Linked DNA regions of Xenopus tropicalis. The protein of the gene in region 1 purifies or fractionates together with the protein of each later gene. This does not show direct contact. Links are inferred from orthologs where the notes say so. Each region holds a gene or a part of one and is shown on either strand. Other genes may lie near its edges.

Region 1 (3,514 bases):
AGGCCCAAACTGTACTAATGGCACCGACGTGTTTATGGGTCGGTCTCCGTTTCAGTACTTGACCCAATTCTCTCTTTCAGGGACACAGCAGGGCAGGAGAGGTTTAAAACAATCACAACGGCCTATTACCGGGGGGCCATGGTAAGTGGCACATTTATCTGTTGCTATGGGACCCCTGCTAGTTACAAACAGACCAAGTCTGTGTAAGGGGTAACTAACCAACTGCTGAACTACAATCAAGGATGCTGGGAGTTGTAGTACAGCGGCAGCCCAAGGGCCACTGGCTATAGGTGCTTGTGGGGTTGTGAGATGCACCAATGAGAGTTAAGAAGCTGAGCTGGGTACAAGGGTCTCGGGTTATATGTGGGACTGTGGTTGCTGGGAGTCGCTGGTTCTGATGGTTCTGGGTTTCTCCAACAGGGGATTATTCTGGTCTATGATATCACAGACGAGCGATCCTATGAGAATATCCAGAACTGGATGAAGAGTATTAAAGAGGTAAGTAGAGCCGGGGACACCCCTCTGTGTGATAGAAAATCCTTATGGTAATCAGTATGGCAGCTCCCAGCCTTAACTGTCAGTACAAATATACAGATTCCCCCTTACTAACGGCCCCGGGGTCCCCCTTACTAACGGCCCCGGGGTTCCCCCCTTACTAACGGCCCCGGGGTTCCCCCCTTACTAACGGCCCCGGGGTTCCCCCCTTACTAACGGCCCCGGGGTTCCCCCCTTACTAACGGCCCCGGGGTTCCCCCCTTACTAACGGCCCCGGGGTTCCCCCTTACTAACGGCCCCGGGGTTCCCCCTTACTAACGGCCCCGGGGTCCCCCTTACTAACGGCCCCGGGTTCCCCCTTACTAACGGCCCCGGGGTTCCCCCCTTACTAACGGCCCCGGGGTTCCCCCCTTACTAACGGCCCCGGGGTTCCCCCACACTAACGGCCCCGGGGTTCCCCCACACTAACGGCCCCGGGGTCCCCCACACTAACGGCCCCGGGGTCCCCCACACTAACGGCCCCGGGGTCCCCCACACTAACGGCCCCGGGGTCCCCCACACTAACGGCCCCGGGGTCCCCCACACTAACGGCCCCGGGGTCCCCCACACTAACGGCCCCGGGGTCCCCCACACTAACGGCCCCGGGGTCCCCCACACTAACGGCCCCGGGGTCCCCCACACTAACGGCCCCGGGGTCCCCCACACTAACGGCCCCGGGGTCCCCCACACTAACGGCCCCGGGGTCCCCCACACTAACGGCCCCGGGGTCCCCCACACTAACGGCCCCGGGGTCCCCCACACTAACGGCCCCGGGGTCCCCCACACTAACGGCCCCGGGGTCCCCCACACTAACGGCCCCGGGGTCCCCCACACTAACGGCCCCGGGGTGCCCCCTTACTAACGGCCCCGGGGTGCCACTAATGCCCCTCCCTTCTGTGTGCGCAGAACGCGGCGGCCGGGGTGGAGCGGATGCTGCTGGGTAATAAGTGCGACATGGAGAACAAGCGGAAAGTCCCGAAGGAGCGAGGAGAGAAGGTCAGCGCCGTGTGTGATTGTTTAATAATGAGCAAAATGGCCACTTTGTCTTAAATGTGTTGGGGGCGGGGCTTGGGGCCAAGTAATAATGTGTGTCCCCCAAAGCCTCCTGAGTGGCCAATCAGCTGTCTGTCTGTCTGTACCCAATCATCTTCTCTCTCCTTCTCCAGCTCGCCAAGGAACATGGCATCCGATTCTTTGAGACAAGTGCCAAGTCCAGTCAGAATGTAGATGAGGTTAGTACCAGGGACTGCTAATATCCTTATCATTTACAGTAGGGGGTACATTATCCCTTATAATACATGAGTGATACTCAGAGTTCCCTGTATAACTCAGCCTGCAGCCTTGTGCCTTTATATGGAGGGCACAGAACCCCTCAGTGACTGCTAATATCCTTATCATTTACAGTAGGGGGTACATTATCCCTTATAATACATGAGTGATACTCAGAGTTCCCTGTATAACTCAGCCTGCAGCCTTGTGCCTTTATATGGGGGGCACAGAACCCCTCAGTGACTGCTAATATCCTTATCATTTACAGTAGGGGGTACATTATCCCTTATAATACATGAGTGATACTCAGAGTTCCCTGTATAACTCAGCCTGCAGCCTTGTGCCTTTATATGGGGGGCACAGAACCCCTCAGTGACTGCTAATATCCTTATCATTTACAGTAGGGGGTACATTATCCCTTATAATACATGAGTGATACTCAGAGTTCCCTGTATAACTCAGCCTGCAGCCTTGTGCCTTTATATGGGGGGCACAGAACCCCTCAGTGACTGCTAATATCCTTATCATTTACAGTAGGGGGTACATATAACCTGTATGTATTTTGCAGGCATTTAATACACTGGCCAGAGATATTCTAATGAAGATCTCCAAGAGATCAGTAAGTATATGGAAGGATTTTGGAACAAAGCTCCGCCCCCATTGCCCCCCCCCCCCCCCGATTCTGACTCCTCCCTGTGTTTGTTTAGGCGCCGGGAGTTAAGGACCCGCTGGATCTGAAAAGCTCATCGAAGAAAGGAAGCAACAAGTGTTCGGTGCTTTAATGTGGCGGAAGTGGCCGTCGGGCCCCAGTCAGACTATGGGGAAAGCCAAACGCCTCTGAGCGAACCCCGGGGCCCCACTGTGAAAAGAGGAAAATCTCGGGGTCCCCCCCCTGTTTTCAGGACTATATTGGGGGAATCCAAGCACCACAGGGGTGTTATATCTATAGATTCTAGTAGCAAAATGTCCCCTGCTGGGGGCCCTGAGCAGCGACTCTGCTGCCCCCCGGTGGCGGCTGCCGGAACCCCCTCCTACAGGGGTGAAAGGAGAAGAGCGCAGTTTCGGGGGGCAGAAGGGCCCAGAACTTTGGGATATTCCATGTATGTTCTGATTCGCCCGTGGAAAGGCAACGCTAACGGAATTACGTGGGGTCCTACGAGCACGAATTCAGGGATTTCATAGGAATTATTGTGTTTCCCAACATTCTGTTATTTTGCCAAAAACCACAAAATGGCCGTTCTTAAAGGGATACTGTCGCCATTATAGGCAGTTTCATTCCATAGAATCATATTTTATTATAGATATATATAGTGATAGTGGCATTCTGCATTTCGGCATTTTATTGGCTGGTGAATCACGTGACTAGCTCTACTTCCTCTCCGGCTAAGCACAGCAGCCGCCACCTTGCTTTATGGCTGGGCCATTAGAATTCATAGCAATAGTCTGTCTGTGAGAGAGAATTCAGCCTTCTTCTACCAACTCTTTTTCAAAGGGGGGTCACTGACCCCGGCAGCCAAACCCTATTGCTCTGTGAGGCTCGCTGGTTGCTAAGATAATTTGAGCCCTAGCAACAGTATATCTGACCCCGGCAGCCAAACCCTATTGCTCTGTGAGGCTCCAGTTTTATTGTTACTGTTACTTTTTATCCCTTATCTTTCTATTCGGCCCCTCCCCTATTCGTATATCAGCCTCTCGTTCAAACAGCTCGCTG
Region 2 (4,057 bases), about 140 Mb from region 1:
GGTAATTGGATAGACAACAGGCAGAACTCTCAGTGAGAGCAGGGTAATTGGGCAGATAGCAGACAGGACACCCAATGAGAAGGGGTAATTGGGCAGATAGCAGACAGGACACCCAATGAGAAGGGGTAATTGGGTAGATAACAGGCAGGACACCCAATGAAAGAGGGGTAATTGGGCAGATAACAGGCAGGACACCCAATGAGAGAGGGGCAATTGGGTAGATAACAGGCAGGACTCCCAAAGAGAAGGGGTAATTGGGTAGATAACAGGCAGGACTCCCAATGAGAGAGGGGTAATTGGGCAGATAACAGGCAGGACTCCCAATGAGAGAGGGGTAATTGGGCAGATAACAGGCAGGACTCCCAATGAAAGGGGGGTAATTGGGCAGATAACAGACAGGACTCCCAATGAGAGAGGGGTAATTGGGCAGATAACAGACAGGACACCCAATGAGAGAGGGGTAATTGGGCAGATAACAGGCAGGACTCCCAATGAGAGAGGGGTAATTGGGCAGATAACAGGCAGGACACCCAATGAGAGAGGGGTAATTGGGCAGATAACAGGCAGGACTCCCAATGAGAGAGGGGTAATTGAGCAGATAACAGGCAGGACACCCAATGAGAGAGGGGTAATTGGGCAGATAACAGGCAGGACTCCCAATGAAAGGGGGGTAATTGGGCAGATAACAGGCAGGACTCCCAATGAGAGAGGGGTAATTGGGCAGATAACAGGCAGGACTCCCAATGAGAGGGGGGTAATTGGGCAGATAACAGACAGGACTCCCAATGAGAGAGGGGTAATTGGGCAGATAACAGACAGGACACCCAATGAGAGAGGGGTAATTGGGCAGATAACAGGCAGGACTCCCAATGAGAGAGGGGTAATTGGGCAGATAACAGGCAGGACACCCAATGAGAGAGGGGTAATTGGGCAGATAACAGGCAGGACACCCAATGAGAGAGGGGCTATTACACAGATAACAGCCAGTGCCCCACCCTCCCATCTTTAGCCCCCCCAGTATCCCTTGCTGGGAAGATGCAGACGCGGAAGGATCTATTTTCACAGCCGCATAACTAAGGTCACACGCCCTCTTCCTTATTGTCCCTCTGTGGTGTCTGTGGGCCCCGCATGGGGGGCTGTTAGGGACTAAGTGAGACGGTGCCCGGCAGTGCAGCTCGGTACTAGCGATACTGGCTGTTGGGGGCCGTAGGGTGGGGCAGGGGGTGGGGTTAGAGGAAGGAACTATTTGCTGGCGCGGAAGGAGACAGGGCGGTGAAGCTGTTCCTCCATCTTTGGTCCAGCTCAGCTTCCAGCTCCGCACTCTCCCCTCACGGCGCGATGGATGAGGAGTACGATGTGATCGTGTTGGGTACCGGCCTGACGGTGAGTGGCCATGGGGGCCTGGCTGGGTACTGGGGGGTCCTACTCGCTCTTTTATTCTGGGGCCCCAGGAAAGGCTTCAGGGGGCAGTTACACGGGCTGGAGTGGGTAGTGCCTGGGGCAATTACTGTTATAGGCCTAGTAATGCCCTATGGGTATGGGGGCAGGGCCCCTCACTGTCAGCTGGGGGCATTGATGGGATGTATGGGGGCACTGACATGTACTGGGGGGAAATAACATGAATACAGGGCCGTGCCACTCTCTGGTACAGGCTGGGGGCACTGACACGTACTGGGGGGAAATAACATGAATACAGGGCCGTGCCACTCTCTGGTACAGGCTGGGGGCACTGACATGTACTGGGGGGAAATAACATGAATACAGGGCCGTGCCACTCTCTGGTACAGGCTGGGGGCACTGACACGTACTGGGGGAAATAACAGGAATACAGGGCCGTGCCACTCTCTGGTACAGGCTGGGGGCACCGACATGTACTGGGGGGAAATAACAGGAATACAGGGCCGTGCCACTCTCTGGTACAGGCTGGGGGCACTGACATGTACTGGGGGGGAAATAACATGAATACAGGGCCGTGCCACTCTCTGGTACAGGCTGGGGGCACCGACATGTACTGGGGGGAAATAACAGGAATACAGGGCCGTGCCACTCGCTGGTACAGGCTGGGGGCACTGACATGTACTGGGGGAAATAACATGAATACAGGGCTGTGCCCACTCTCTGGTACAGGCTGGGGGCACTGACATGTACTGGGGGGAAATAACATGAATACAGGGCCGTGCCACTCTCTGGTACAGGCTGGGGGCACCGACATGTACTGGGGGGAAATAACATGAATACAGGGCCGTGCCACTCTCTGGTACAGGCTGGGGGCACCGACATGTACTGGGGGGAAATAACAGGAATACAGGGCCGTGCCACTCTCTGGTACAGGCTGGGGGCACCGACATGTACTGGGGGGAAATAACATGAATACAGGGCCGTGCCACTCGCTGGTACAGGCTGGGGGCACTGACATGTACTGGGGGGAAATAACATGAATACAGGGCCGTGCCACTCTCTGGTACAGGCTGGGGGCACCGACATGTACTGGGGGGAAATAACATGAATACAGGGCCGTGCCACTCGCTGGTACAGGCTGGGGGCACTGACATGTACTGGGGGGAAATAACAGGAATACAGGGCCGTGCCACTCTCTGGTACAGGCTGGGGGCACTGACATGTACTGGGGGAAATAACATGAATACAGGGCCGTGCCACTCTCTGGTACAGGCTGGGGGCACTGACATGTACTGGGGGGAAATAACATGAATACAGGGCCGTGCCACTCTCTGGTACAGGCTGGGGGCACTGACATGTACTGGGGGGAAATAACAGGAATACAGGGCCGTGCCACTCTCTGGTACAGGCTGGGGGCACTGACATGTACTGGGGGGAAATAACAGGAATACAGGGCCGTGCCACTCTCTGGTACAGGCTGGGGGCACTGACATGTACTGGGGAGAAATAACAGGAATACAGGGCCGTGCCACTCTCTGGTACAGGCTGGGGGAACTGACATGTACTGGGGGGAAATAACATGAATACAGGGCCGTGCCACTCGCTGGTACAGGCTGGGGGCACTGACATGTACTGGGGAGAAATAACAGGAATACAGGGCCGTGCCACTCTCTGGTACAGGCTGGGGGCACCGACATGTACTGGGGGGAAATAACATGAATACAGGGCCGTGCCACTCGCTGGTACAGGCTGGGGGCACTGACATGTACTGGGGGGAAATAACATGAATACAGGGCCGTGCCACTCGCTGGTACAGGCTGGGGGCACTGACATGTACTGGGGGAAATAACAGGAATACAGGGCCGTGCCACTCTCTGGTACAGGCTGGGGGCACTGACATGTACTGGGGGGAAATAACAGGAATACAGGGCCGTGCCACTCTCTGGTACAGGCTGGGGGCACTGACATGTACTGGGGAGAAATAACAGGAATACAGGGCCGTGCCACTCGCTGGTACAGGCTGGGGGCACTGACATGTACTGGGGGGAAATAACATGAATACAGGGCCGTGCCACTCGCTGGTACAGGCTGGGGGCACCGACATGTACTGGGGGAAATAACATGAATACAGGGCCGTGCCACTCTCTGGTACAGGCTGGGGGCACCGACATGTACTGGGGGGAAATAACATGAATACAGGGCCGTGCCACTCTCTGGTACAGGCTGGGGGCACTGACATGTACTGGGGGGAAATAACAGGAATACAGGGCCGTGCCACTCGCTGGTACAGGCTGGGGGCACTGACATGTACTGGGGGGAAATAACAGGAATACAGGGCCGTGCCACTCTCTGGTACAGGCTGGGGGCACTGACATGTACTGGGGGGAAATAACAGGAATACAGGGCCGTGCCACTCTCTGGTACAGGCTGGGGGCACTGACATGTACTGGGGGGAAATAACAGGAATACAGGGCCGTGCCACTCTCTGGTACAGGCTGGGGGCACTGACATGTACTGGGGGGAAATAACAGGAATACAGGGCCGTGCCACTCTCTGGTACAGGCTGGGGGCACTGACATGTACTGGGGGAAATAACAGGAATACAGGGCCGTGCCACACTCTGGTACAGGCTGGGGGCACTGACATGTACTGGGGGGAA

The links. The genes of interacting proteins can lie anywhere in the genome.
Region 2: the proteins of rab13 (region 1) and gdi1 purify together in Homo sapiens (affinity purification with mass spectrometry; 4 studies listed by BioGRID and IntAct, counting the BioPlex papers as one, with this or other methods). This does not show direct contact. The link is inferred for Xenopus tropicalis from reciprocal best matches to the Homo sapiens genes RAB13 and GDI1.

The regions. Positions count from the first base shown.
Region 1 is NC_030684.2:143,558,468-143,561,981, forward strand, and holds part of rab13 (ras-related protein Rab-13), read left to right. Parts: intron 1-80; coding exon 81-141; intron 142-420; coding exon 421-498; intron 499-1,440; coding exon 1,441-1,530; intron 1,531-1,700; coding exon 1,701-1,766; intron 1,767-2,371; coding exon 2,372-2,422; intron 2,423-2,510; coding exon 2,511-2,585; 3' UTR 2,586-3,514.
Region 2 is NC_030684.2:142,353-146,409, forward strand, and holds the start of gdi1 (rab GDP dissociation inhibitor alpha), read left to right. Parts: upstream 1-1,244; 5' UTR 1,245-1,338; coding exon 1,339-1,383; intron 1,384-4,057. UniProt on the Homo sapiens protein: Regulates the GDP/GTP exchange reaction of most Rab proteins by inhibiting the dissociation of GDP from them, and the subsequent binding of GTP to them. Promotes the dissociation of GDP-bound Rab proteins from the membrane and inhibits their activation.